Linked DNA regions of Oreochromis niloticus. The protein of the gene in region 1 purifies or fractionates together with the protein of each later gene. This does not show direct contact. Links are inferred from orthologs where the notes say so. Each region holds a gene or a part of one and is shown in the gene's direction. Other genes may lie near its edges.

Region 1 (15,842 bases):
ACATCCTGTCACTCTCATTTCTTCCCTTTTTTTTTCTTTTTCTTTTTTTTTTATTGGGAGCAAAACAAAGTCAGTGACAGCTCATCAAACTGACATTTACCATCTGTCCTCCTCTCTGTGCTGTAGGTGTAACAGTTTGGGAGCTGATGACATTTGGGACCAAACCATACGATGGGATTCCAGCCAGTGAAATAGCTGGGATACTGGAGAAGGGAGAACGCCTGCCTCAGCCACCAATCTGCACCATAGATGTCTACATGATCATGGTGAAATGTAAGCTCGTGTACAAAACCCGTGTACATTTATTATTTTATGTAAGAACTGCAGTAATTAGTCGTCTATTTTGGGGGGTGTTTTTTCTCTGTTTCCTCCAGTTTTATAGAACAAACAGTTACACATGACAGTTAACAGCAAATGAATCAGGAAGGAAAAAGTAATAATTAGTTACATCACCATTTGTTTTATTGTTTTTAAGACATAATGCACTTTAGCAAACAGTTGTTTTTTTATGTTATCCCTGTACAGCCTACAGCAGGGGTGGGGAACTCCAGGCCTCAAGGGCCAGTGTCCTGCAGGTTTTAGACGTATCCTTGATCCATCACAGCTGATTTAAATTGCTAAATTACCTCCTCAACATGTCTTGAAATTCCAGAGGCCTGGTAATGAACTAATCATTTGATTCCGGTGTGTTGACCCAGGGTGATATCTTAAACCTGCAGGACACCGGCCCTTTAGGCCTGGAGCTCCCCTACCCATCATATATCTTGCATATCATATTTGATACGCAAGACTCCTACATCATCGATGTGATGTAGCAAATATGATACAAATTAATTTATTTTTTGTTTGTTTTTTTGTCAGAATGTTTAATAAACACTCAAATTTTATGGCAGTTGTTTCATAGTTCAGGCTCTAAAGAGTTTAGTTTTGTCTTTATCATCCGTCTTTCCCAGTTCTGCTTCCTGCTGACCCGCTGTTTTTACAGATTATGTCTGCTAATGTACTCACAAATTTAAAGTTTCATGTCACTGAGTCGACCCACCCTGATGATCTCTGCTGATGCATGTGCGCAGGTTGGATGATTGATGCAGACAGCCGGCCTCGTTTCCGAGAACTCATAGCTGAGTTTACAAAGATGGCTCGGGATCCACCGCGTTATCTTGTCATCCAGGTATAATTTTAAGCCACTTCTTTCTTTAAAATTGCTTAAATATACAGAATATCTGATGATGAGCTGCAGTGATTTGTTACGTACAACAAAAAGGGTAAACTCTTTGATTTTAGGGGGATGACCGCATGCACCTACCGAGTCCTTCAGACACTAAGTTCTACCGCAGCCTGATCAGCGGGGAGGACATGGAGGATGCTGTGGACGCTGATGAATATCTGGTGCCACAGCGTGGCTTCTTCAGCAGCCCGAGTACCTCCCGCACCCCACTGATTCACTCAACAGTAAGCGCCTTTATGGAAATGTAAAATCAAATCTGTCCACGTGGTTTACAGTAATTTAGATTTTAGACAAATCTCATAAATCAAGCAATCATTACACTTTAGAAATAAAAAAAAAGAAATGGCGTGAAGCTTTTCTGCTTTGTCAGGCCAGGCGTGTAAGAGTAAAACTAAAAATCATTAGAAATTATGCAAAACGTTTGAGTCTTGGAGACCGTGCTCCTGCTTAACTAGTGCAGCTCAAGTGAAAGTGAAATCAAAAATGATGTAATTACGAGAGGGGAAATCATCACGACTTGCGTTGGTGTCACACTGAGTACTGACTACTCCTTGTTACACCCACAAGGTGACGCGGTTCACCAGAAACCCACTCTATTGTTCTTGTGAACATCACACAAACTGACTGTGCTGTGTGCGCCTAGTAATCAAACGCCTGAAGTCACAGCTGCTGTGAATCCTAGGAAATAAAGTACTGTGCAAAAGTCTTGAGCAATCCTTCATTTCATCACATTTTCCTTCCAAGGAGCCAGACTGTCTTGTACTTTTGTAAGTGATCTTGAGCAATAGTTCTCCAGACTTTCTGAAAGGTTTAGTAAGTTTTTCATTTGCTGCTCTTTCACTCATTTTTAATCCATTTCTAAGGAATGTTTTTTTGGTTTTTTAAGCCACTTAATACTTAATAATGTGTCATTCAAGCATAAAAAGGCACCTAACTCAGGGGATGAGGCAGTGGTGTCTACACATAACAGACAACTTAGGAAAACTTATTTTAAATTGTGTCTTCAAGCATTTTGTCTACAGCAGATGAACAGTGTCTGAAAAATCCAGGATCTGAGAGATGCATCTGGCTTTTCAGTGTCTACTGCCATTTTTTATGAAGGGAAATAGGAAAAGTGAGTGAGCCTCAGTAAACTCTGGAGGCTCTGTCATGTTTGGGGCTGAATTTCAGGCAGTGGTGTTATGGATCTTGTCAAAATTGATGCAATTATGACTATAGACACAGAAAGAGCCGTTATATACTTACAATATATCCTCTCCTTATATAAATATTTTGCTGTCCCTCTATCAGCACAAGGCTGAAGCCAAATGCTGAACTGCTGACCTGTTTCAGCACGTTCACTTCTAATTTTAAAAGATTTTTACACAAATACGGGATCCACATGCAAAATATTGCCACTGTATTTTGTGCTGTGAGCTGTAAGGCTCCTAATGAGCCATGTAATGGTGCATTTACCACAGACACACACCCACACCAGATTCACTCACACTGACCTTCTTGGTTCACACAGCTTTAGCTGTGAACACTTTACCAACAGGCAGTCAACTGTTTGAAAATGTAATTGTGCTGCGTTAACTGTGTTTTGGGGAAATGAGATTTCGGCATAAATCATTACCCTGTGAGTCTGGATGGAAATAAACACAGTCATTTTTTTCTTTTACTGTGTTGAAAACAATTGCTCCTGCCTTCAGTCAGGAGAAACAGAGTTGCAGCTGCTAAACTCAGCCTACCAGAAGTGTTTAGACAGAATTTAACTAATTTTACTGACTTGAAGTGGGAAAAGGTTGTTTTTGACCCCAGCGGCCCTGCTTCTGTTTACCTGGCCTGTCGTGACTACCACCCACTCGCCCTCCTTAATCAGCGCCTCTCCCACGTTTCCTCCCAGTTGTCCTGTGATTGATGAAGGTGGAATAAGGAGAACTCTTTTACTGCAGGTTCAGTGAAGGCCATGCGTAGGTCTGGCTCTTTTACCTGGGATTATTGCCGGCCACTGACAGCCTGGTTAGTCCATATGAGGTTTCAGGTTTGATTACCTTTACAGGCGCCTTTTTTTTTTCCTTTGTTGTTTTTTATTTCTGTCCAATAAAACTTCAGAATAGGTCTGTTTTTGTAATATTACTGTTGGGACATGGCCCAGTAAGGCCTTCTTTCGTTTTTTTTCCCACATGGTCAGTGCTTCAGCGTATTTAATTTCCTTTTCTTGTTGAAAGTAATTGCATTGCCACAGCTGTCACCCTGTTTTCCCTGTTTTCCCATTTTTCATGGTTTTATGCCGCTCACAGCCCTTTGACTTAGACACAGCAAAGCTTGTCAGATTGTCTGAATGCATATGAATCTGCATGGCGAACGTTTATTTTGATCCCTATCAGCTTGTACTAAGAATGGCAACTTCTCGGGGACCATAAAAACACTTTCATGTCACAGTTCAGAGAGAACTTGCCATCCCTGTGTCCAAATGAAACATGCAGTAAAAAAAAATAAGAATAAAATTAAAATAAACCAAACCAAGAGATTAAAAAAATGATTTTCCAGAAACTAAACAAAGCAGGCTGTCTTTGTACGGTGCATTATGCCTGTTTAATAAAATGTTAAACCTTCCTCTTCACTCAGTGGATGCTTTATGGTTTATAGAGGATTATCTAATTATGTTATGGCTTCATAAAACACAATTTCCTGTGTCGCATTTGATGTGGCATCATCATTTGATGATTAACAAAACGTTTGCCGTACCTATTTTTCAGAGCCTCAACAGCAGCATCGGGACGTGCCACAGCAGAACTGGCTTACTGGTGAGAATGCATTAAACCCTTATTATACCTGTAAAGAAAAGGATTTTTCTCTTTGTGCTGGCCTCTTTGCAATATTTTCACAGGGAGTGTCACAACCCTGAAAACCTCCACTCTTTGTTACAGAACGGATTTCCGAGCAGAGATGGAAGCATGGCCCTGCGATATATTCCAGACCCCACAGACAAATTTCTCGATGAGGCCTTCCAGCCCGCTCCAGGTTAGTCACCTTCGACTTAATGCCATTACTTTTTAATTTAGTTCAAGAGAAATCTCAGCATGGCTTGCCTCTGCGTCCTTTGTGTGATTAAGTGAGGAACGGGGACATCTAGTGGCCAACAAGTGTACTGCTCCCCTCTTCTTGTAATGCTGTTAGCAGAACATGCAGTAACCCATCTATTGTTTACTAGTTACATTAGCGTTACCACTCAGATCTTTAGCCTAAGAACCTCTAGTGGGGGACTTAAAATGAGAAATGCTTAGCAATCAGGCATTAGAATTTATGAGCAACTATTATTACCATCTGCACCGTGATTTGACCGCTTCTTTTTGTCAGACGTTGTAAGGCTTTTTCATATGTGTCTTTAATGCTAATCAACCTTGACGTGCCACACCTCTTCATGTCCCCTTGTCTTTTTGGCTACTTGTGACTTTCATTATCCTTCAGCCTGTAAAACCATCTAGCATATAATGACGCAATAAGAGTGTAAAATACTCAAAGAGATGCAGTAAAATAATCAAATTTAAGAAAACACCTGAAAATATGAAAGCAAATCGGATTATCCAAACCAGTTTCTTTGGAGATGAGAGGGAGGCAGGTGAAGCAGGGATGATGTGAGAAGAAGAGTAGCGAAGGGGGCTGAAATACCTGGGGTCGACCATCCACAGATCAGACAGTGCACAAGAGAGTACTGGCAGGGTGGAGTGGGTGGAGACAAGTGTCAGGGGTGATTTGTGAGATAAGGATAGAAGTGTGAAAGAGAAGGTTTACAGGATGGTGGTGAGACCTGCTATGATGTATGGTCTTAAGACGGTGGCACTGACAAAAAAAAGGGAGGTGGTGCTGGAGGTGGCAGAGTTGATGCAGAGTTTTCATCAGGAGTGAAAAGAATGGACAGGATTAGAAACGAGTGCATCAGGGGGACGGCTCAGGGTTGGAGACAAAGCTAGAGAGGCAGGGCTGAGATGGTTTGGACATGTGCAGAGGAGGGATAGTGGATATACTGGACAAAGGATGTGAGCGATGGAGCTGCCATGGATGTAATGAGAGAGGGTTAGTGATGATGAGGATGATAGGAACAAGGTGAGATCGAGGCAGAAGAAGAAAAACAAGAAAAAGAAGACTTTCGTTGTTGGATAGAATGGGTCTTATTAAAGCCTTTCTGCATAGATTTGTAGATTTGTACCATTTCATCTTCAGAATCAGAATACTTTATTAATCCCTAAGAAAATTATGTGGTTATAGTGGCTCCAAGATAATAAGGACAGTAACAGACTGAACTAAATTAAATAATACAATAAAGTTACAAAATATAAGAAATGGCTCTAATATATGCAAATAACTCAACGTCAAGATTACAGCATTATTTGGGAGCTTTGGGAAAAGATCTGCACTGATGGTTTCAGCTCATGGCGCATCAAACCGGGGGTCTCTACTGCATGTCATGACTCATCTTTTAGCCTTCACTCATGCCATGTTTAAATAGTCAGTTGGTCTAAATAAATAAATACCCTAAAGCATGCGGCTCTCCTGTTATGATCATTACTTTTTTCCTATGGAAAGAGAAATTGTCTGGTGCCCTCGTTAATGTAAATGTCTTTCTTGCAGGCTACATAAACCAGACTCCCATCTCAGATGTGGTGAATCCTATCTACCAGCATCCCGGTCCACCTCGCACCCTTCTTCCCACCATCTCCTCGGACCATACGGAGACAGAGTACCTGAACTACTTTAAGAACGGGGCCGCCGGACCAGAATATCTCAATGAGATTCTGTCCCCGGCCGTCCTCCCGCTCACGTCAAACGGCACGGTCCACAGCATTGAGAAATACCTGCCTCAGCAAAGCATAGACAACCCCGACTACCAACAGGATTTCACTCCCACCTTCAAGACCCACACCAATGGACACATACCGGCAGCGGAGAATGCAGAGTACCTGGGCCCGGACTGACTTGGTGGAATGTGACAAGAAATAAGAGACTACTTTCTGTTCCTTTAATGAAAGGCGTTATCTTCAGTATCTTGGCTGGATTGCTGAGTGGTACCACCCTACTCTGTCCTATCGTATGGAGTCAGCTGACAGTTTGAGCAGCATTGTTGGCATGCCTTCAAGTTAAACCAGTCTCATTCCAAAGACTTTTTTTTTTCACACCACCTCCAAACTACCAATGAGAATGACAAAAGTTGTTTCGCATGTCTCAGCTGACCTTAAGAGAACAGATAGACTCCACCTTTGTGACGTACCTCCTGACAGGAAGGGAAACTCTCTTCTGAAAATGTGAGAAGTAGAAATGTGTAGATACTATGCACAAAAGATTTTGTGATCCAAATGTGTTGGTGGAGGAATGCTATTAAAAGCGTGTAAACACCTCCGGTAACATTTCAAGAACGCCGAAGCGGGCAGGTCAACCCAAAAACACAACTTGAGGTACATACGTTGTAGACTCGCTAGTTATAGGCCATGTCTCTGTGGTGAAGTCAAAAAGATTAAAGGGAGTTTCTTTTAAAGATTCCCCTGAATTCCTTTGGCACCCCTCCTGGAGGATGAGTCAGATACCTTGGAATGTAGGGGATGTACAGTCGGCATAAAGGGGAATTCTGGTGAATTGTCATTTTAATGTGTGATCTTTATGTTCTAAATTAATTCTGTATGTATTAAAAAAGACTGTTGCATCACCTGGCATACAACAAGAGAGCTGAGCTTCTTGTTTTTCCCTGTCATAACTATGTGGAGATTGTGATGGTAAATACAGCAAATGTTCCCATTCGTCCTGCTGTGTTTTGTAGCTCAGAATCGGCAGCGTTCTTGTAACATGAAGCATATTTGTGGAGACCCACAAAGCGAGATAGTCTGAGGTTTTTTATCAGTGTGTCATACTAAAGTCTGAGTATTAAGGAAGTCATTTGTAGCCCTCATGACTGAGTACTTTTCAGCAAGAGCTGTTTTTTTTGTTTTTTTTTGACAAGCAAAAACGGCGTCATAGATAGACAAGTTGGGGAAAAAACTCAGCAGCACCAGTTGTGATCTAGATATATAGTACTTTTGTCTTGTTTGTACCATGTTTAAAATGCTGGTTGACCTGTCTTAGGCCGTTTGAGTAAATTGTTTGAACTGTAGCAGTAGTTGCACTTCCCTGGGACATATTTTAGAAATGAATGTTTCTGACGCCCGTGGTCTGTTATTATCACCAGAACCCCTTTGGCTGGTTCCTTGTTGTTTCGCACAAAGTGTTGACAATGCATCTATGAATCTGTTCCTAGCTTTAAAGCCTTTTTTAGTCCTGCAGCAGCATTAAACCTCGCAAATATCTATTCCTAGTTTTAAGGGAATATAGTTTTGTAGCAGCCTGTAAACCTACCTTTGCAGATTTTACACAGGTACATGTACAGGTAACAGTGTGTATGCTGTAATATAACCCGGCATAGTCGCCTATAATTTATACTCAGTACACAGTTTTGTCATATCATATGTGAATATGCACTTATTCCTGAATTGTGATTATTTCATTCAAAAGTGTAAATGAGTAAATCTTATTTTCTATGGACATGTCTCCTGTTTGTTGTTATTTCAGCACAGCCTGAATGCTTTCCTGTTTCTGTTTTAGTGAAACAACGATGCATTAAGGTGTTCCACTCACAGCTTTAAAGAGATCTGGACGTCAAGATATGCTCTTGATTGAATTTTAGCTGTGTGCATAGACTAAAACATTCAATTTATTCGGCAGACCAAATGACAGGTTTATATGTCGCTTATGCACTTTTTTCTGTCCTAGCAGACGACTTTTGGTGGACCTCAAAAACTAGGAATGTGAAGGGAAACAGAGTCATTACAAAAAACACAAAAGGTTTCTTGCAGTACCAGGACATGAGATAAGGTAATGGCTGCTGGGTTGTGGGCAGAAAAACTTGAAATTAAAATGTCGGCCTGCAGGAAAGAATTATTTAAATTAGATTTGTGACTGCAGAGAGCCAGTAACATCACAGCAGGATCAAAGGTAAATTAAATCGTTTGGCTTCAGGAGAAATGCGGAAATGTCCTCTGCTTTCTTGAAGTTTCTGTCCTGTCTTTGGACATTTCCAGAATGTATAATTATAACAGTAAAGCTGTTCAGGTGACACATGAGCCAGAACTCTGCCCTGTTTTGGTAAAATATTCAAACTTGTGTGTTTCAAAGGAATGCTGAAAACACATGTGGTTTGTGGTATCAGAATATACTAGAAATGCTCACTTCCTGGTTGGCAGTGTTTAAAAATAGTTGGGAAAAGGAAGGCCAAGGAATGCCACATCAACCCCGGGACAAATCTTGGAACAAACAAACTCTTGGCACACATATTCACATAAAGTACAGTCACTTTTTTAATGGTTGTATTTATGACATAGGTCAGGGTAGGGCTGTGAGTGGTAAACTGATACGGATGATTGACTACTGTATGATATGTTCCATAGATGTAAAAAAAAAAATGTTATATTATATTATATGGTATTTATGGTTTCCCCTTATAAGCTAAGGTTAAATAATTTAAATAAGGTAAATTTCTCTATTGTCTTAAAACAAGGTAAATATTTTATGGTGTAAGCTGTAGCAAGCAGATGTCTATCACTGCAACCCAAATTTATCTGACTCAAGCACACTCTAATCCCTAGTTTAATCATGTGAATTCACGTGAAGACAATAAAAAAAAAGGTAATGGGGATTATTAAATTAAATGGGGAAGTTCCTTTTCGTGGTGCAGTGGGCCGTCTTCGTCGCTAGGGGGCAGCGCTCGGATAAATATTTATCTCCGCCCCAAATAAATAGTGGGAGGAAGAAGACGAAGAAGACGGTTGTGAGGATATGTCAAAGTTTACCTGAGCGTTCAGTTCAATTTGATCGTTTCAGGCACCGAGATGGGGCTCATGGCAGGGAGAAGCTTCTTAAGTCTGCTCTTCCTCGTTATATTCCTGGCCGAGGGTTATTTTAGATCGGTAAGTTTGATTTAACGTCACTGCTCTCGTGACTGTTTAATGACTCAGCTCAGGCGTAGCTAGTGTTTGTTTATCAGTTGTCGAGGGAAACTCAGGTTTAGGCTGAGTCGAGCTATTAAAAGTGCTCACCCTATTTTGTATATATTGAAGACAGCATTAGCCGATAATTGGCTTAATGTCGGTTTGAGCATATAGCTGGGGTTGATACTGCTGCTTTGTGGCGGAGTAACATGAGACTGGCGGTGCGTGTACAGGTTCTAGGTCCTAGGTTCAGCGAATGTCGAAACCAGATTCGTGTGCTGACTAATGTCTCCCGAAGTGTCATCATAGCTATGATAAATGTCGCTAAAATCTCAAGCCTGTCAACGGTGATCAAAACCTGCGAGTTAAAAGCTAGGTAGTAGGAAAGAATAGCTGTGGTGAAAAATTCACTTTCTATTTGGATGTATCAGGTATTTGAACTACACGTAATGTAGCTGATGTAGTAACCGCGGAGCTGGTTAAAAGAAAATGGTGCAAAGAGAGAATACAGAAGCTCATGAGACTTGAAACTGCTGGGGTTAATTTTGAGATTAACATCAATTCACATAAAAAAAAAAGCACAGTTTTGTGTGCCAGCTTCAACTTCAGCATGTATTGATAAACTTTTAAATTACTACATCTCCTTAAGAAATACCCATAAAATTATTTAAGATCAGTTTAAGAGATTTTTGATCAAAGCAGACAAAAAAAATCTTGTCTGTGATTTAATCAATGTAGATAATGCTCAGCCTCCCAGCTCCTATCACTGCATTGTTTGCTCTCCTCCTCGTGATGTAATTGGGTCAGTCCACTGTCTGCACTTTTTTTGAAATTCTGCTAAAACACCAGAATGATTAATCATTACCTCTTTAGGATAAGATATCCGGACAGAAGCAGCAGGAATGTCAAAATCAGTAAAAGAGTATTGATTTGTGGCTGCTGTGGATGAAGCTGAAAGTATTTTAGCAAAGCCTCTGAGTGTGCATGGCTCCTGAGTTGAGGTGAATTTCTCTGAATATTCCCAGTCGGAGTTTTGCTTTTTACCCTGAATTAACAAGACTTAATTTCGATAGATGCAGAGTTTGGTCACTAGCCCTGGCTGCACTTTCAATTTTTTAGTGATATTCTAATGCCAAGTGTCATCTTTGCACCACAAGACACGAGTAGGACAAAGTGTGACAGGCTTTCCCATAAAAGTTTGTGGAGTAAGTGAATCAACTTCCCTAAGTTACTCATCGGAACGAAAAAAGCATGTGAGAGCGCACTGATGCTGAATAAACAGAAAAAAAATGTTTAGTTTTAAATCTTTATGTAAGAGTATCTCTCCATGGTTGACTGATTGGAAAACAAAAACTGAGAAATGTGTCTGTCTGCTTTTCAAAGGGTATTCTTTAAAATACCAGATGAAAAGGAAACATGTTTGCAGAAGTGAGGGGACTATTTTCAGACATGCAAAGCACAAGATACTAGAAACACAGGAAATGAGACGGGTCTGATATTTAACTCTGTTAAATGTCGTCTGCATCCAAATTTGTTAAATCCCCTTAAGCAGTTTCAATCAAAGTCACACAGTCTGTTGGAGGAAAAGTTGGCGGAGAGGAGTGAAACCAAGGGAACCTCCCTCTATTCACTTCAGTTCTTCACCCTCTTGGAGGGATGACAGGAGAGGAACGGAGAGAGAGAAATGTGGCCACTCTTTGCGTTTGTGCAAGGGAAGTGAGAATCTGCAGTGACGTACCGATGAACTCTTATTACTCTCAAACACAAATACAAGAATACATAAATGTGACTCTGTTAAGGTGTGGTCTCTTTTCACACATATTTGAACGCTCGTAAGGGCCACCCACTTCTGCTGTGGCTCAGGAGGTAGATCAATTCCCCAGTTAGCCCCAGCCTGGGCACAATGCTGAACCCAAGTTTAAGTTAGTGTGTGTGAATATTAGACATTATAGAAAAAAGAGATTGAGAGTGAGTGAGACGCATCATAAAAAAATCACTGTGTAAGTGCTAGCATTTCTAACTGCTGGCACTGTTTTAAGTCTCATTCCAACATCCTGAGCTGATATTTAATCTTGAAAACTTTTCGCAATTACATTTAATCACACTTTTTTTCTTTTCATAAATCTCTGCAGCCCTCACAGCAGACTCACTCTGAAAGTCTTTGAGACGGAAATGTATCTAAAGGAAGTCAGGTCATCGGTCTACAAAGTCATATGGTCTGCTGCAGCCTTTAGAGAAACTAAATGTGTCTGGGCTTTCTCTTTGCCCTCTTGGTTTTGACCATATCCTCACTTGGTGAAAATTGAAGCTGAGTCACATGAGTTAAAAAAAAAACCCAAAAAAAACCAAACATGTTGTTTACTGGACTGTGCAGCTGAAACGACCATAAACTTGCACTGCTGCTTTCTCTACAATCACTAAATAAATGACCTCTGATTTTCTTGTTTTACAAGTATCATGTTGTGGCCCATCACTGTGTGTGGTACGGTGAGTGCGGTGAGTCGACGGTGGCTGGAAAAAAGTACAACTGCAACTACACTGGTCCACCTATGCCACTACAACCTGATGGTTATCAGCTTCTCACCGTACGTACAGCCCTTCAATGTTTTGTTTTGTTTTGTTTTCTCTTATTGCTCAAATTGTTGACACCTAAAGCATCCCACAGGTTTCCTCTTACAGAAATACTCTTATAAAGTGTCATCATTCTCTTTGTGTTTGTATATGAAGGAGCTCTGTCCTGGGTACGACTATGGAAACAAAAGTCTCTGCTGCAACGCTGACCAGTTGCGAACCCTCAAAGGCAGTCTCCAGCTGCCACTTCAGTTCCTGTCTCGGTATGCAGAGATGTTATATAATAAACTGCCAGAACACATGATCTGCTTGGCATCGTTGTTCCCTTTTTCTTTTTGAAATTTCTGATGATAAACTCTGCAGTGGCACACACAGCATACTGACAGTCTTACATGTTGCAAGTGTCAACGTTGCATTTTCCAGTTAATTGGTTTAGATGTGGACTTGCTCAAAGGCCAAAGGAATTTCATTTTATGTCAGCACACTTTTGTTTTCTCCAAGAAACTTTTACAGACTTGTACACTTGAACTTGTTTTATTATTTTGAGTTATAGCAGCAAATCTGTTTCCTTGTTTCTGTCTGACTGTGCGTCTGCCTGCAGGTGCCCGGCGTGTTTCTACAATCTCATGAACCTCTTCTGTGAGCTGACATGCAGTCCCCACCAGAGTCAGTTTATGAATGTCACCAATATTACTGGCGTAGACGTAAGGGCAGTGGAATACTATATTGGACAAACATTTTCTAACGGTGAGTTTTTAGCCAGAATTCCCAGTATTGTAACAGTAGGGAGCTTTATCAGTTCTATATAAAGTCTTGTGTAATTGTTTAATTTTTGGTGACTGATAATTATAACATTTTAAATTTGGAGTTGACTTAATTATTTATATGCCACCTTTTTGGGTTTTTTGCCTTGTTTTTAAAATTCTGTCATTTGACTTCTGCCAGCCATGTACAACGCATGCAAGGATGTCCAGGCACCATCTAGCAATGTGAAGGCCTTATCTCTTCTGTGTGGCAAGACCGCAAAAGAATGCAATGCTACCAACTGGATCCAGTACATGTTCAGTACCAAGAATGGACAGGCCCCTTTTCCCATCGAGCCAGTATTCACAGGTCAGTATTTTTTAAGTACTTTTTTTTAAAATTTGTTTTTAAAGCAGTAGTTTTCTGAGCTTGAGTATTTTTAAGTGTCTGGTCCCTCTTTGTCCTGTGATGTGCAATGTCTTTACTCTAGATGTCCCGTTGGCTGGTTACACTCCCATGAACAACAATACATACGCCTGTAACGAAAGCCTGGACGATGGTTCAGGCCCGTGCTCCTGTCAGGACTGCACCAAGTCCTGCGGCCCGAAACCCGTACCTCCACCGCTCCCGCCTCCATGGACCATCCTTGGTATCGATGCCATGGCCGTCATCATGTGGCTCTCCTACATGGCCTTCCTGCTCATTTTTTTTGGAGTTCTTCTGGGAGTTTGGTGTTACAGGTAATGGACTTTTTTAGCTTCTAACACACACTGTATAGTTGGATGTGGAGAGATTTGTATGATGACACACTTCGAGGTTAAGCAGGGTTTTTCTGGTACTAGATAGGCCTTGAGGGTTGACTGCACACGCATGATGGGTAAAGGCGATGACTGTGTGAAGAGGTTTGTGATGCTTTGCCAGCTGATTTCAGTTGTCAGTTTTGTTTTGTTTTGTTTTTTTCTGCTTGTGGTTTGGTTTTCATCTGGGAAAATGCATCGTCACTCATGCTGATTTGGGGTTTGTCTGTCTAAAGAGTTGACGTGATTCTTTTAAATTATCAGTACTGTTCAAAGGATCTTGCAACCATCTACCACTTTTGCCTTGTGTTGGAACTCGAGCCTTTTCATGTTGCCAAGTTTTGTGATTCATTTTTTTTATTTTTCCCACAAGTTTACCAGACCGTTCAGCCCACTCCTGATATTCTCTCTCATATTTATTTATTTATTTTCATATTCATTCACCCACCCACCCAGACATTCATATGAAAAGAGCAGGAACCTCTGTTGTTTTTACAGCATAGGAATTCTCTGGTTTACTTGCCCTGCGAATTCATTTTGTCGGAACTTCCAAATGCAAATGCCACTCTCTGAAGTTCAGCAGGTAAAAGGTCATAAACTAATTGTTCAAGCAAATTTAAAAAGAAAAAGAGGGGGGAGGGGGGCTTGCACCAAACCCATGATCTCCTCGGGAAAAAGGGTTGGAATATCCTTAAATTAATGCATTTAATAAGTCTGTGCTTTACATTGAAATTGTAACTGCAACTTATAATTCGCTGAATAGTTAAAATAACAAATCTTTCTGACTGTATACTTTTGGGTCCTGTGTCAAACAGTACATACTGTAGCTGAATATATTTCAGAGTGGAAAACAGATTTGGATGATATCGTATGTTTGTCCTTCTTTGCAGGAAAAGAGCTATCACATCTGAGTATGGCCCCATTTTGGACAGTAATAACCCACTGTCGCTTAACGGTGATGATCCTGATCAAGGTACAGCCATGAAATGTCATTGAGACTGCATTATTTCTCTAAATGTGTCTTGATGTAATTACCACACAGCCCAAACTAAGTTCTAGGTATTTCCTACCTTTCAGTAAATGCATCATGCTGTGAAACGCTGGGTGAGCGTTTTGAGAATGGCCTGCGGATGCTCTTCAGCTCCTGGGGTTCCTTCTGCGTGAGGCATCCATTTCTCATTCTCTTCTGCTGCCTGGTACTGGTGGGAGCCTCAGCTGGGGGCCTGGCCTACATGCACATCACCACTGACCCTGTTGAGCTCTGGTCATCTCCCAAGAGCCAAGCTCGTCAAGAGAAGGATTACTTTGACAAACACTTTGGACCTTTCTTTAGAACTGTGCAGCTCATCATAACTACTCCACTCATGCTCAATGAGACCTACGATCCGTATTTAGGAGGACCATCTATCCCATTCGGTTCGGTTCTGAACAAAGAGCTCCTGCATCAGGTGAGTTGAAGTCAGACTGGTTTATTTCGGAAGCCTGTTCAGTCTACTTTGACTATTTTTGACACATAAACTACATAGAAGTTTAAACAAAAGGTATTAACGAACCATCCAGATATTTCAATGAGGTTAAATATGATTTAATGCTCTCCCAATGTACACAAGTCACTTTCTTATCATCAAGAAATAAATAAATACAGCACCATGGTGTCTCTGTTTTGAGCGTATCCTTGGCTAACATATTCCACATTAATGGCACAGGCGGAAGATCCAGACTCATGCAGGTTTTCAACCAGAGACTGTTGTGCTGTTGAGCAACATTGCTAACCACCGAGTCACAATGCTGTCAGTGTGTAAATTCTGTAACAACGTCACTGTTTCCTTTGTTAGATAAAATAGAAGCTTTGCATGTGAAAAGCAAGCAAATTTTTCAGACGGTGGTTAAAAGGTTCTCCTTTCTTTTTCCATTTTCTTTCAACTTACCAGGTCCTGGATCTGCAGCTTGAAATTGAAGGCCTCGTAGCCTCATATAATCAAGAATCCGTTACCCTGAAGGACATCTGCTTGGCTCCTCTGGCCCCGTACAATGACAACTGTACAATCCTTAGTGTCCTAAACTACTTCCAGAACAGCCACGCTGCACTGGATCACTATATGGGAGATGAATTTTATATCTGGGCTGACTATCATGACCACTTCCTCTACTGTGTCAGGTAAAAGTATTTGTATCTGTTTTATTGATAGATTTAGCCTTTACTTCTCTTATCAGCTTGTTTTAATTGCTGTCACATTTGTGTCAAATGTCTAAGAAATGTTTTTAAAAGTTTAAAAAAGCAAACAAACAGTTGAAAAATGATGCCTGCAGTTAACAAGAATCTCCTTTGTGCAGCTGAGGTCACTGAAAAAAGTGTCTTCTTAAAATAGTACACTCAACTTCCTCATTCGCTGTCATGTGCAATCGATGTTTATCTGATGCAGATTTCTGCAATCCCTTACTGACGGTTGTCTTTAACCTAATTGTTTACTTTTTGCTTGTGCAGTGCCCCAGCTTCCCTCAACGACA
Region 2 (15,667 bases), on another chromosome or scaffold:
GAAAAATTACTGCACATAAAAGCAAAGCTGACATTTTGCTCCTTTCAGATTTAGATGAATGTCACAAACAGATATGGATTACAACTATTCGTTGAGTTCAATCTTGTTTTTAAGAGGTAATATTATAAAAAGTGAAGTCAAATAGTCAGTGGAAACAAAATCAGGGGGAAACAGAATGGGACTGGTCTATGAAAAATAGAGCCAAATAACTGAACGCAGAGTAATAACCCTAAAACATGTCTGCAGGAAAAAAAAAAAGAGGATGGATATGTGAGAAAGTGAAGGTGCCATTAATGAATTGTGTATTCTTCATGTCCACTATAAAAGTGAAGGAATTTTTAAAGTTAAACTACCTCACCTGGCAATAACGTCTAAAGTTTAGATTTAAACTATAGTTTTTAAAAAAAAAACGGGGGGGGGGGCAAATTAAACAAATAGAAATATGAATTCTGCGACAGCTGTTTATCAACTATTTGCCTTATTTTTAGCGAGTCTTTCTTTGTGCAACCAAACAAAACACCTTTTTTAAGGAATCAAAATAGTTGTCACAACTATAACATCATATGTTACATTTAATGTGTCAGACTCCTAACGATAATAAAGGGTTATTCAGCTAAGAAAAAAAAGCAAAAAATAAAAAGAATGAGCTTGGTTAACAATGCTTTATCAACTTTGCACAGATGTTAGTTTTGTGTGTGTGTGTGTGTGTGTGTGTGTGTGCGCATGGGTCCGTGCATGTAGTAGTGGTAACTCAAATCCCTACGTCTTCACGACTTCAAGAAGACATATCTCCATGTGTTTGCTTTCAGGCTTATCTACAGTAGCAAGGAAAATCAACTTGACTGTCAGAGTGAGAATAATGAAATTTCTATCAACAGGCAGGCTCTTCTTGGGCCCAAGCAGCTAGTGTGTGATCAATAATTGAACACGACTTTGGTGTTTATGCTCTGAGCAAAACTGAATACTGGTTTATACATTGTTCATGAGAAGGCTAATAGAGGAGATGGGAGCTGGGTGTTTCCAACATGAGTCATATTTTGACCAAAGTGTTTACACAGATATATGAGGGCAGTTAACCCTAAAACTGAATGATTCAAGTTTGAGGTCAAAACATCTTTAAAGTGTATAGTTAAGTTTAGGAAAATAGTAGTTGGGGTTAAGACTAGTTTAATTTTACATTAATGTGGTATGGTATACGGTTGCTTTTAGATCGCCATACAAAACCATCCATCCATCCTCTTCCGCTTATCCTTTTCAGGGTCACGGGTGGGGGGTTGTTTAGGCATTTTAACCAACTTTTGTAAACAAACAGCACAAATTAAACATCTGACACAATGATGCTGATAGAAAGCAAAAAGTCAGAGGATCACTGAAGGTGTCAGCACTTGCTATGAGAAGAGCATAAATTTTATTTATATACATTTTTTTTTTTTTACAACAGCAGTTTTTACTGTGCACCAGTTTGATCAGCTCACCAAACCATGTAGCGCAGCTAAGACAACATCAAGCAGCTGTGAGCTTTCTCTTTTAAAACACTTTACTTTGGGCTCTGTTTTAAAATGCCAAAAATACTTTTTAATGCATGAGGTCCTGTGAAAAATTAAGTACATCCGTATTGCTTCTATAGGAATTAAGGGGGTGAGTAACAGCCAGGTGCTGCTAATAAAACGCACTTGATTAATTGATCTTCAGCAAATGTAATCACCTCTATAAAAGCAGATGTTTGGGCAGATTGCTGGCCTGAAGCATTCAGGTGTTGTTTAACACAATGCAATAATGTTCCCAGGAGTGGATGTTCCAGCAAGTTCACCCTAAGGTCAGACCGTGCAATGTTGAGACAAATTGCAAAAAAACCCCCAAAGGGTACTTATTAGAGATGGACCGATCCGATGTTACATATCAGTATCGGTCCGATACTGACCTAAATTACTGGATCGGATATCGGAGAGAAATTAAAAATGTAATCCGATCCATTCAATATCACAACAGGACTTCACAAAACTTGCGACATAGCGTAACCCAGCTCATAACCTTAGCACGTCGGAGGAGTATGCCTCTCCTGATAAAGTGGCTGTGGCGTGCGAGACCTGTCGGCGGTCTGGTTGAGCATTTGGAGCCTCGCTACGTGCTTCCAAACCGGCATTTAATCTCCGAGAAAGTTATCCCAGAGAAGTAAAGCAAGTGTGTAAGTTCATCTCTGAATGTTTGTAAAGCATTCCCAGCGAATGCCTATCATTCTGAAACTGATCAATGATCAGCTGATCGGCTTTTCTGTCACGACTCCCGTCTCTTGTTTGTTTATCGCCCACTTTGCGCCAGAAAGAGGAAACCAGCGGATAAACAACAGCAGCACGTTTAAGCTTGATAAGCTGTTGTTAGAATTTATTTAATATTACTTTCTACATCAGGATCCTTTTCTACGTAGCTGACGGCTGGTAACTGTGCAGGGGCGGATCTAGCAAGGTTTTGCCAGGGGGGTCGATAGGGCATGAACAGGGAAAGGGGGAGCACAAAGAAATACTTTTCTTTCTTATTGTCATGTCTAGCTTTTAATAAATAATTATCTGAATCTTACAATCAAAGTTTTCACCTGATGTAAAATGTATAGAAATCCATTATTGTATATAGGAACTATTAACTCAAATTTATAACCTACTAAGCTATAGTACTTTTTCCTTTGGGAAGATACCATCTGTGCAGTCTGCAATTCTATTGAAGAAAGATGTTGAATCTATTTAATTATTGTGGAAAAATAATTGATTTCTGTGAGTTTTTTTTTTTTTGTTACACATGCATTAAATTAAGGTTGATTACGTCAATTAAGCATTATGAGGCAGAGGGTGGGGGGTGGTTTGTTTGGTTTTTTTTGGTTTTTTTGTTTGCTCGGAGTTGGCAACCCTATTAGTTAGGTTGCTTAATATTTCCACTAAGTACTCTTTAAAATACCAGAATAGGGAGGATGGTGTAGGCTTAAGTTTATTAGATTGATCAGTATTGCTGATCTATGAAATATTTTGGGTGCAGTGTATTTTTTGCATACAGGTATAACAGAATAGCTTTAGTTTTGTTTTGTTTTTTAAACTTGAGTATGAACTTATACAAAATGCAGCAAAATATTTAAAAAAAAACATTTTATTGATTTTAAAATATGCTATATCGGATTTATATCAGTATCGGCAGATATCCAAATTTATCATATCGGTATCAGACATAAAAAAAGTGGTACTGTGCCATCTCTAGTACTTATCAGACTACTCTACATGTTAAATGTTCATTACAGCAGAATTACAAAAAGACTGAACAAGTCTGGCTTGTTAGGAAGGGTTGCTATGAGAAAGCCTCTTCTCTTTAAAAAAATATAGCAGTATAGCCACTGAGCTAACCTTGAACTCCTCTGTATATCAGAGCAATCTAGAGTCCAATCTGAGGGCATGTGTCGGACATCTGAAGCTTGGGCGAAAAGGGGTCACATTAGCAAATGAAAGACAAGACTCAAGGTGGTTGTAATGGTCCAGTCAAAGTACAAACCCAAATGAAATGCTGTAGCATGACTTTAACAGAGCTGTGCATAAACAAAATTGAGTTGTTTTTTTTTTTTGTCATATTACTGTATACACAAGCTAGCTTGAAAGTAAATGAGTAATTAGATGGAAATTGTTGATTTCCAGAGACATTTTTTCAAGAAATATAAGCTTAAGTTACCTTAAATCTGACACAGCAACAAAACCAAAACACCTAATTATCTCTTGAATCTTCCTTTTGCTTGAAGTTAAATTTAAGACAAAAAGACACCTGTACTGACAATAAATGACACCATTAAATAACTATAATTATTCTAAGGTGTCAACTGACATTGCTATAATTTTTAGCAAATTGCAAAGTCCTTCTTAGAAAAAATCCTGAGCAGCTATACTTGGTTTTCCTTTCTAGGAAAACAAGACACTGTCAGATCTGTAAAATAAAGTGAGACCAATTTCTTGTCACCACAGTGCTGAGAGGGGTGCTATGATAAAGTGTTAAAAACGTTCTCATTTCTTTTGTTGCACTACGACTTTCTATTGTCTTCCATGACCCAGATCCCCTAAATTACATTTCCAATTCTGCACTCCCCTCTAATTGGCACTGAACTTTGCTGCAGGGTACAAAGATCTAGTTTATTTTTCAAGTTTATTACTCTGTTAATATGGCCACAAAAGCATATACTGATCACAGATACACTAAAAGGAAAGCAGCATCATGCTGGATGTGTGAACAAATATGAATACAATCTCACACTGCAAGAAGAATCACACACTCTCACCTAAAGTGAGACGGAGGAAGTAAAGTACCCTAAAATGTACTATATTTTTTAAGTCAGTCACTGCTGTTTCTGTGCTTCATCACATTGCGAGTGTGGCAAGCAACACCTGACGGCCTCTACATCTGCCAGCACATGGGATTTAGAAAGAAAAAAAAAAAAACAAAAAAAAAAACAGTCTTCAGTTTTCAACCAGCACAATATTTTTTGATTAAATCTATTATTCAGTAGTTATGCAACTCTGCTGTCAGACAGAATCAAGCAAGAATTCCCAAAGCACAGGATTGTTCGGGAATGTTACCTTCAGACTGAAAATTATTTATGCAAAAATATCAAAAAACGCCAAAGCACTCTCTATTCATATAAAATTTAAATCCCTTTATTCTCGTGGCATGGTTAGATTTAACCTTCGAAGACAAATAAAGTTTATAACAAAGTAGTAAAATTTATTTTTTAAGAAAAATTTTACTTTGTTCCTATAGACTTAATTTGCCTTTGAAGATGCATTTATGTTATCTGTGTGGTCTTTTTTGTCTGATTTGAATTGACTTTGGTGAATTTTTGGTGATTTTGTTGATTTCTGGGCTCTTACATCTGTCCACTCTTATTGGTTGAGTTTTACTTGTGGAATTTTCCACTTTCACCTTGAAGTTTGCTACTAGTAAAACACCACTTAAAAAATGTTCAACCACTCATTTTGTCTCTTATAAAGGCCTATATGCCACAACCTGTTGGAGTTTTAGGTTAGTTTTTTAATATTTTACCCTGAAAGCGCTCCTTAAACCAATTTGACAATTATATATCTTTGATTCATAGCATAGCAAGAATCATGTGTGGCCAAGTACCCAAAGAGGGAAAAATGTAATCTGTGAGTTTTTGAAATAGAAAATGCTGTGTATTGTATTATAGAAGTGTGCGCTAACAAAGGATTTAGGTCTTTTTTTAAGCTTCTCGGGAGATGTATAAATCCAGCAGCCAGTGTTTATTGAGCTGACTCCTGTTATAAAACTTTCTTAAGCTCACCTTTGTAGAACAAAACAGATACACCCAGGAATAGACATTTTTAGCTACAGAAGGACATGTTATTTATCAGTGTGGATGGATTTAGGAAAATATCACTCATGCACCAAGGAGCTACAAAATAGAGTACTGATAAAACATCTCCATCTGCTGGTTGCACAAAATAACATCACTTTCTAATGTATGTACGGTGGCTTGGTGATTTTGTTTTGCTCAAGTTCAAGATGTCCTGAAAACAGGAAGCATGCAGTGCGTTGATGAACAAAATTAGCGTCATCTAATAGCTGATTATGATGAAGATGATGACAACAACGAATTAAGAGTTGCCTCAGTGTGACTGCTCTGATTGCAGTCATCAGCTTAGATTTAATTAGTCATACATTTGAATGCATCATAATTTTGAAAAGGAACACTGATTAAGATGCATCGTGTCCTAGATTAAATTATAACGCACCAACTGCATATTAATTTATACTATGTATTATACATTTCATTATGAGCACTGCATTTCATACACATATAGATTGAGATATTAAGATTTGTTCTTACCAGACACCCCTTGCAGCTTTAGACTGAAATAATGGATCTTGTTCTGAACCTGAAGAACAAAACAACAATATATACTTTATCATATTTAAGTATTATAACCAAATAGCTAAAGAGCTACACGAAAGTCGAGTTTGCAAGAAAGAAAGAATTGCAGTTACTTGCTTAAATATTTTATTAAAAAGGTACTGCAGCTACTTCTCCTTTTCCTTACAGTATTTAGGCTGCACTACAACTCACCAGGGTCTGGAGCGTCAGGCTGAAGAGCGGGGAAGTCATTCTCAAACACAAAGGTACTGTCATAATCTGGATTCCCCTGGAGAAAAACAGACAGTTGGAGAGATATTAGAAAACAGCAGACAGAAAACATTTTGCTTTCAAAACCCAAGCAGAACGAGGAGTGAAGAAACCTCTTATTTGGAACTGCTGGCAATGTTACAGTGCAATTTAGCATTATGTATGATTGTTAATGTCCACAACATCAATAATAAATGGAGATAAGAATAGATGAACTATCCATGACATTATCGATATGTTTTCCAATGGATGCCTTGTTTGTGGATTTACTACTTGTTGTGATCAGAACCAAAGAATGCTGTTCAATGCCTCTTCTCACCTCTCCATTTGCCCTTTTGTTCCCAGGACAGAGTGGGTTATTTGGGTCATATCTTGGTATGTGCTCCTCAGGTGGTCTTTCAACTTGACCTGCCCAAGGTCTCTTCATGCGGTGGGCGGACACAAGAACCCAGCTGTCCCTAAGAGGGTTGTAACGCAAGTGCTGGTGCTCTAAAGTTACACAAGACAAGTGATAAAATGTAACAAGACAATGTAATAACACACACACACATTATTGAAACCAAAGGCATCAAACATAAGGCCCGGGGGCAAAAATTGGCCTGGCAAAGACTCCAATCTGGCCCCACTGGACAGCTTTGGAAAGCGTGAAGGAAAGCATAAATCTTGGACTTTTAACTTTATTTTCATACGTTTCACAGCTTTAATAATAAAAAACCTCCCCTGTGGGCCATGCTATACCAAAGGAATTAGGTAACAGATAGAAAATTAAACAACAGGAAGTTCCTTTTTGTTCAATAGAAATGTCTGGGTGTTTTTTACAATGGCTACAAAACAAGGACATTTTACGTAAAAAAAAAAACCCCAAAACAGAACAAAAAACTTTGTGTTTTATACTTTTTCTGTAATTTTACACATTTATTTCTTACAATTTCTTTAATTCACTACAGAACAAGTTATTTGCCATGTAGAAAAACTGTGATTTCCTTTTGAAACTGCACTTTTTTCTTATATTAAAATATCTCAAGGTTTCATTTGTGTATCAAACTTATTTACAGTGACAGATCAATATGGGGTGTATCTTACCCACGATGTAAAATGAGTTTGACACCCCCGATTTAAACATTTACTATTACTTATAAGAAACACCTCAAAAAGCATTCAGGAGCAGGTTTTGTAGCTACAACTTGAACTACAGGAACTACAGTCACAAGACAGCGGGCAGAGTCAGCATGTCTGTCAGGCCGACAGGGGAAAAAGTGCAGGGTACAACATAACTAAAGACTTTGTGTAAACTCCTATAACCTACCAGTGAATTCGAGTAGTAAACAAGCCCCGAAGCATGACTGAATGCATTTGAGCTTTAACTGTTTCCAGTGCAGTACCTTTTTGGTAAACAGTGATGAAGAACTCGGGAAATTACACAAGTCATTTTGACGCTTAAACAATAAGGCAAACTGACAAATTTAAGAAGTCCTACTCATTATCCAGTGCCTGTCATTGGATATAGTGAGTGATTGAAATTAGCTTTATAACGTTTGTAAATTCACAAAAAATGCGTACCTTTTGGGTCAAAACTGACGTCTTGCTTCCCGCTCATGTCGGTCACTCACTGATGTTTCACAGCTGTCTCCTCCCCGGTGTTCTTTTTTTGAACCACGAGCTTTCTCTGGACTTTAGCATATGATGCTAAATCAACACGGTCCTCAATAAACCTTGGCCTACTTCCTGTTTTGTTGACAAGCGAAAGGTTGCTATTGTGCACATGCCGGTATGCAATGGCACACTTCTAAAAATCTAAACAAATAAGTAAGTAAATAAGACTGAAAAAGTCAAACTAAGGATAATTGGTCATTAGACTGTTGCCACCCAATACAGCAGCCTGAAATGTTTAGCTTTGGTCAACTGTTTTTTTTAAAAAATATGATATTTTAATGTAAACTAGAAAAAGACGGTTTTGCATTGTGCTGGCAACCCTGGAGTCGCGCGCTGCCTACGCTGCTGAGTCGGCCCATGATTGGCTAAGCGTAAAGATCCCTCCCTCACCTGACCAGGAAGAGGCTGTGAGCGGAGCACCACGCCAGCCTGCCTCCCTGTATGCATGTAGCCAAACCTGTCTGTGTGTGTCTGTGCGTTTTGTTTCAGCCATGTCCCTGCTCAAAATCATTTCAAGACTGCTGGTGTTCGCCGCAGTCACCGTCCTGACCGTGCTGTTGTTGCGGCATTGGTTGGCCAGCAAGCAGTATGTGTTCAACAAAGAAGACGTCGCCAAATTGGCCAAACAGTATGCAGGTGAGTTTGGGTTTGCATGTGAAAAAAAGTTGCTCCTACACTTCATTTTGTTTATATTTGAAGCTAATTTTGGTTGCCTGAACTGCCATATCTGCATGCCCTGTGCATTTTAAATGTGTCTGTTCTCAGGACAGGACCATGAGCAGGCTTTCTCCAAAGTGGTGGTGGAGCTGAGAAAAAGGTAACGACACCGTTACGTGCAGGCTTGCATGTATCAGGCAGCTTGTGGTTGCTTCTGTACAATTTCCACCACTATTAGGTTGTTTAAGCTACTTACTAGCTGCAGCATGATGCACCTTATCTCTTCAGTATGTGCTCATTTCACTTCATTCTTCCTTGGTATGGTATGGATGTCTTATTCACTTTCATTTTTTTAATACTATGTCAAAAATTGGTGTAGTCTAAAATAAAGCCAGAGTGAAAGTTGTCCATAATGATTTCTTTGACCTTGAGGTACTTTCCTCCGATTTTCCTACTAAAACTCAAAACTGGTAAATTTGTACTGAAAACTCTCACTTGGTATTCAGATTATTTTTTAGATATCAGATTATAGTTCTTTAATGTTAAATAAATGGCTAACAAAGTGTATTTGAACTAGGTATCCTGGACACATCCTCCCTGATGAGGACTTGCAGTGGGTGTTTGTGAATGCTGGAGGCTGGATGGGCTCCATGTGTGTCCTCCATGCCTCTCTCACAGAGTACTTGATACTGTTTGGCACTGCGGTGGACACTGGAGGACACTCAGGTGAGGAAGGAGAGCAGTTAAAGAGAGCTACATAGATAGATTCATAGATAGATCAGCTCCAAAAAATATTTTTTTGTGTAAGTTGAAGTAAACATCTGCAGACATAATGGTTTTGGAAAGTGTTTGTTTGGGGAACAAGTTACTCTAGAGCAGGATACTCTGATCTCAAAGTTGAAATCTGCTGGAGTTATTTACAGTATGGTGTCAGATATCAAGGAATGAATTGCCCCTCTTATGATCTAAAGTAAAGTCAGTCTGAAGCACCCCCATTCCAGTCCATGTCCTTACAATAGTGCACAATGGGCTACAACTTGATCCTTGCAATCTAGGAGATGCTGATAAACTGTCCCATTCTTGGTCCCAACAATAATATTTGATTTGTGAGATGATTTACAGAAGACTATTAGAATTGTATGTTTAGAAAACTATAAATACTCTGAATTGTATCATTTTGACTCTTTGCATCTTGCTGTTTTTCTCAGGTCGTTATTGGGCTGAGATTTCTGATACCATTATTTCTGGAACCTTCAGACAGTGGAAAGAGGGGACAACCAAGAGTGAAATATACTATCCTGGTAATGCATTAACTCATTACAATATTCAATTTCGCATTTATACACAATGGAAACTTTAATGTATCTCAGTAACTATAATAGTTTTTTTAATGTTTGTTTTTTGTTTTGTTTTTGCACAAGTCGGCTGGACATTTTCTTTCAAGATTTGTTGATAGAGAGCAGGGATGATGATTTTAATTATGGCAAGTTGTTCAGTTCCTAAAGCAGCCCCAGACCATCACAGTACCACCACCATGTTTGACTGTTAGGATGATGTTCTTTTTATGAAATGGTATGTTATTTTTTTTTTTTTTAAACAGATGTAATGGGACGTAAACCCTCCAAAATGTTAAACTTCTTCAAAACTTCACTAAAATATTTTCCCAAAAAGCTTGAGGATCAAGATGTTTTTGCCAAATGTTGTTCTGGGTTCTTTTGTGACCTCCCGGAATAGTCATTGAGGCACGAGTCATCTTAGGTAATTTTGGTAACCTGCCCACTCTTGGGAAGATTCAGATTTCAAATTTTCTCCATTCATGGATAATGGCTCGTACTTTGGAGTTCCAAAGTCTTAGAAAAGGCTTTGTACCCTTTCCACACTAATAGATGTCAATGACTTTGTTTCTCATCTGTTCTTGAATTTCTTTAGATTGTGGCATGATATGTTGCTTTTTGAGATCTTTTAGAGGACTTCACTTTGTGAAACAGATTCTGTTTAAGTGATTTCTTGATTCATCAGGTCTGGCAGAAATCAGGCCTGCGTGTGACTACTGAAATTAAACTGGTTAATTACCCTCTTATGATTTAACAAGAGGGGGCATTTATTTTTGTCATATCGGGCCAGGTAGCTCTGGATAGCTTCCCATTTTAAATAAAATAATTTAAACGACATTTTTATTTACTTGAATTATCTTTGTCTAATGTTAAAAATTGGTTACCTGAAACATGTAAGTGTAACAAATATGCAAAAGAGAAAAAAAAATCAGGATGTTGGTAAATAAGTTTTCACAGCACAGTATGTTATTAGCTAAACTCCTGTAGTATTATTGGGTGGCAGTAGTAGTAGTAGTAATAGTAATTATTTTTTTCCTGTTCTTTCATATTCTTTACCCACAGGTGACACCATTGTGCATGCTGTAGGAGAGGCTACGTCAGTCCAGTGGAGTGCCGGGACTTGGATGGTGGAATACGGCAGAGGTTTCATCCCTTCCACGCTGGGCTTTGCTTTAGCAGACACCTTTTTCAGCACCCAGGACTTCCTCACAATGTACTACACTTTTAATGCCTACATGAAGGGTTTGCTACTTGAGGCTGGTACACTACTTACAGAAGCTGGAGTTTTCTAAGGCAGAATAGAGTCCTAGATGATTGCACATGGACATTACCATCAAAACTTGTGCTGTGATATTTTCTTCCCAACCACTAAAATCTGGTAGAGGAGAGTCTTGCTGATAATTCAGAGTGCTGACATTTAATATTTTTATATGAAATTGTAGACAATCCAAATTTACATTGGTATAGTTGATTATCTTCATTGACGCTCTTGACCCTCATAAAGCCTATGCAAAAGAAAATGTCTTACTCCATTTCACCTTGTAGTCTTAACATTTCGCATGAGATTTCAAACTGAGCCAAATCACCCAAACAAACACTTCATTCTGAATGGCAGCCTTCCTTACTTTACCTCGATTTTAACAGTGAAACTAAGCATCAGGTCATTAAACATTCCACTGAGAGCTCAGACTGCCTCCAGAGTCAGAATGACTAATAAAAGGAAAAAATAAAAATCGGTATTATTAGGATCCAATTTAAAGATAAAAGCCTTAAAGCTTCTTTTGCCAAATCTATCATTCTTCTGATAAAAATAAGGCAATATATGCAACCAGGTTTGGTTGTATTCACTTCTTCATAACCAATGATTTTTACAAATGAATACTGATATTCAAAGTGTTTTTTTTGCAGGCCAAGGAAAATCTTTCAAAACAAATATGCAATGCTTAATCTGGATTGTAAAACCTACAGTAATGTATATAATGCACAGCTAAAGTCACTATTTTCTCATTAGATGCCAATTTCCACTTTGTGCAGATTCTCTGCAGGTAAGGTCCATTGTAAATGTAGCTGCATTAGGATTCGGGCTCCCTAAGCTACTCTTGGTGAGAAGATGCAAAAAAGAGAAATTCTGTTCTTTGCTTTTAAAGCTTCGCTTGGCATTGGCCACCATTTACCAATTCAAAGCTCACCTTTTGTGTACCGTGTGTCTTTTGAAGCTGTTAAAAACCTGGGAGGATATGCTAATGAAAGCTCTCGTCTTGTCAGCTGTGTGAACCTTGGTGGTTTTATTTTTCTGTTAACCTGTCTCTGCATGAGCTCATCTTCAGAGCTGCAGCATTGTGGCAACCACCAAATTTTTTGACTAGATGTGTGTGGGTTTGACATTTCTTTCTCAGAACTGTGGAGATTAAGGTGGAAAATTTAAATCCTTTCAAACTATAAAGCAAAACATTTACATCACATACTGTATATACTGTGGTAGGACACCCAATGATGTTATTTGGAGAAACTCTTTAAAATGTTTGTGCAAGTCATGGAAGGTAAGAAAATGGGAAAACACGGTTGTATCATACTACAGACCTCTGCTAGGTTTACCTGTAATTCTGTCATTTTCTAATTTTACAGAATGGTTTAATTATGTAAACTTGATTACTTTTTGTTTTGTCAAAAACATTCTGAGCTCAAATAGCCTATAAATTAACTTGAATAATACTGGACTCTGACCAAGCTACTTGGCTTCAGTGTCTGCAACCTCCGTTCCTGGTCTTGAATTTTGCACTGGCCCACTGGGAGGGCTACATGTCTACATCCTATTGTAGCACTGTGGATAAATGTAATTGTGGTGTTTTACACTGCTGCTGATCGTGTTCTCAGTTTGTATCTTTTCATGTAAAACAGCCTTATTTTCAGACTAATGGCTGAACTTACTAAGAGCTATGTAGGGTTTCTAGTCTAGTGAAAATGTGCTGTTACTACACTAACTGATGTTAATTAGAAGCAGCATCAGTAGCAGTGCATTCTCAGATGAATTGTAATACTGTACCAGATGTGCAATTTACTCGGGGTTAAGAATGAAACTGACGGTGCCAAAAGAAATAAATGTCTTTGAACTTAATACAAATGCGTTTTGCTTATTTCTGTCTATACTGTGTATTTAATCAAGGCAACGAGAGGACGACTGGCATATAAACAGTAGCTGTCAATATTTGATCTTGGCTGCTTTATTCATAATAGAATTGTGAAATGACATTTAATATTTCATTGCACACTATTACAATGGTATTGAATCCATAAAAGGTGCCTTTGCCATGATGCTCCAATGCTAAACAGAAGATGAGTGAAATCCCAAACTTGACATCATACACTCCAAATCCTTTATTATAAATACTGCATGGTCAAATGGTATTTAATAAATCTGGTCATCAGATTAGAAGACAAACATATCAGTCCTCATCTCTGTCTGTAAATGTCCCAGGCAACCTGGTTGTGTTTCATATACACAGAGGTGGAAGTGTGATAGACATTTGTGTTGTACATTTGCTTAAAGCTGTAGAATATCCTTGCTGTTGCTTGTTCACCTATTTATGTATACTGTATATATTATACACTCATTAGACAATTAGGTACTTCTTGCTAGTACTGGGTTGGACCCCCTTTTGCCTTCAGAAGTATTCCTCAGTGATTTTGGTCCATATTGGCATTAGAGCATCACACAGTTGCTTCAAATTTATTACGTGCACATCTGTGACACAAACCTCCCATCGCAGCATATCCCAAAAGGTGCTCTACTGGATTGAGACCTGTGACTGTAGAAACCATTTTAGTAAAGCGAACTGATTGTTATGTTCAAGAATTTTTTTTATCTGAGCTGCTTTGTGACATGGTGTGCTATCCTGTTGGAAGCAGCCATTAGAAGATGGGTACACTGTACTCACAAAAGAATGGACATGGGCATCAACAACACTTAGTTGGTACTGAAGTGTCCAAATTGTGCCAAGAAAATATCCCACACAACTTTACACCACCGGCACCCTTTCATGTTGTTTATTGCAAATTCTGACTACCATCTGCACATGACCTTGACATGTCATCTTGATGGCATCGACATGCCTAGATGCCATGAGCTGCTGACATGTCATTGTCTGATTAGATAATTGCACTACCAATCAACTGAACAGGTGTACCTATTAAAGTTTTCAACAAATGCATATATTCCCTTATTCCTGCTAGTCCATTGTGTGTGTGTTACCATGTTATCTTAAATATAGGTTTAATGTCAGCCTAACAGACTGGCTTGACCTCATTACCGTTTTGCTCTTTAAGCTCTTTGGGGGAGATATATTCAGAATCGAAGCTGGGCAACCAGTGCTGAAATACCAGCGTGATTGAGCAGGAGCTGCACCTAATGGGATAGACAACGCTCTCTTTGACTAATTGTTTGGCTTATTCCAGGGTGTTTATGTCCTCCCACTGGTTGCTGGAGTTGTGCAAATAGATGTCTCTGTGTGTATGTCTGCCCCTGGAGACACACATGCACACAAAGAGTTACAGCACAATAGTTACTAAGGATGGACACAAACATGCCCTCAAAAACCAGACAGCAAAAACAGATCTATTCATCACCCATATTCACATTTACAAAACACTCACACACATTCTGATAAATTAAAGTAGCTTAAAAGGGTGTCCTTTGATAGTGCCGCTGTGATTTGCATGTTATATAGATCTCTTCTGCTCTCTAGTGGAGATAATCAGGATCACATACATCAATTGATCAGTTTCAACCTGAAAAGAAATAAAATGTGAGCTCTACACGAGGCTTTCAAATGATAATAACATCAGAGTTAAAGGTAGCAGGCTACATGTCAAACTTGGAAAATATTTGTGATTGAGTACAAAAGTACAATATTATGGAGGCTCTTGTGGTCCTCCATATTAAAGAGCTTTTAACGTCTCATTTTTGCAAAACTTTAAGTCAATCAAATATTTTGTCATTGAGATTTTTCTAAATCTAAAAGCAAGCATAGATGATGCTTTTCTTTACCACCGTTGCTGCTTCACAGAAGAGGCATACTGCTAAGTACGGTAGCCCCGAGGGGAACGTAAGACCCGACAGAACTACACGGTGGACCAACTTCAGCATCACTTAACGAATAATATCGACCTTACGAATTTTTTACAACAGTAATGGAGCTCAATTATCAGTCAATGAAAATCGCCCACCAGGCCCGAGAGGCGGTGAGTGAACACGGGCTTTTGTTTCTTGTTGTTTTACGCAAATTTGACGCACAACTGTTTTCAGATATGAACTTGTGGCTATCTAACTAGCAGTGACAGTGAACAGATGGGCACTGAACTGTCTGGTACTGCAAGCAGTGTTAAGCTAAAGGCATATGTATCCAGGTGTTGGTCGATTTATTTTACACATGTAACGGGATTTCTATATTGTCGGTTTCACGAGCATTGTCGTTAGCCGTCGAGCTAATCGTTATGCCAAGTTCTACATGCATTCGTGCCACAATAAAGCGGCTGCGTCCACTGGTTGCCTAGAGACACCGTCAACTGGTTGTTGTTTGTGGTGGGCTGGCCCCCTCTGCTGGCAACTGTGTTTTCCCTGTATTTCCAGTCCTATATAAAATATTCCTCCTCCACATGTTTGAACCAGGGAAGAGAAGAGAACTGAAGCATTAACGAGCACAGGCTAACTCGTTAGCTGATAATTAGTGGCTACATTTAGTTAGACCACAGACATAAATAAATACTTTAGGGAGTGTCATTTCCATCTTTATTGTCTGTGCAGGTTCTTAGTCATCCGGGTCATGGCAGTCTTTAAGAACTTGTAAAAAGAAAGCAGCTGGACTTC

The links.
Region 2: the proteins of npc1 (region 1) and sigmar1 purify together in Homo sapiens (affinity purification with mass spectrometry; 3 studies listed by BioGRID and IntAct, with this or other methods). This does not show direct contact. The link is inferred for Oreochromis niloticus from reciprocal best matches to the Homo sapiens genes NPC1 and SIGMAR1.

The regions. Positions count from the first base shown.
Region 1 is NC_031982.2:19,875,986-19,891,827, reverse strand, and holds the start of npc1 (NPC intracellular cholesterol transporter 1), read left to right. Parts: upstream 1-9,030; 5' UTR 9,031-9,123; coding exon 9,124-9,201; intron 9,202-11,675; coding exon 11,676-11,807; intron 11,808-11,949; coding exon 11,950-12,056; intron 12,057-12,394; coding exon 12,395-12,540; intron 12,541-12,738; coding exon 12,739-12,906; intron 12,907-13,027; coding exon 13,028-13,277; intron 13,278-14,224; coding exon 14,225-14,307; intron 14,308-14,411; coding exon 14,412-14,782; intron 14,783-15,265; coding exon 15,266-15,492; intron 15,493-15,819; coding exon 15,820-15,842. Other genes in the region: egfra (epidermal growth factor receptor), read left to right, coding at 127-273, 1,074-1,171, 1,285-1,452, 3,970-4,017, 4,141-4,234, 5,843-6,186. UniProt on the Homo sapiens protein: Intracellular cholesterol transporter which acts in concert with NPC2 and plays an important role in the egress of cholesterol from the endosomal/lysosomal compartment.
Region 2 is NC_031972.2:27,424,001-27,439,667, reverse strand, and holds sigmar1 (sigma non-opioid intracellular receptor 1), read left to right. Parts: upstream 1-8,197; 5' UTR 8,198-8,304; coding exon 8,305-8,449; intron 8,450-8,578; coding exon 8,579-8,630; intron 8,631-9,047; coding exon 9,048-9,196; intron 9,197-9,678; coding exon 9,679-9,771; intron 9,772-10,866; coding exon 10,867-11,096; 3' UTR 11,097-12,575; downstream 12,576-15,667. Other genes in the region: galt (galactose-1-phosphate uridylyltransferase), read right to left, coding at 5,867-5,915, 6,104-6,179, 6,480-6,649, 7,721-7,757; katnal2 (katanin p60 ATPase-containing subunit A-like 2), read left to right, coding at 14,992-15,042. UniProt on the Homo sapiens protein: Functions in lipid transport from the endoplasmic reticulum and is involved in a wide array of cellular functions probably through regulation of the biogenesis of lipid microdomains at the plasma membrane.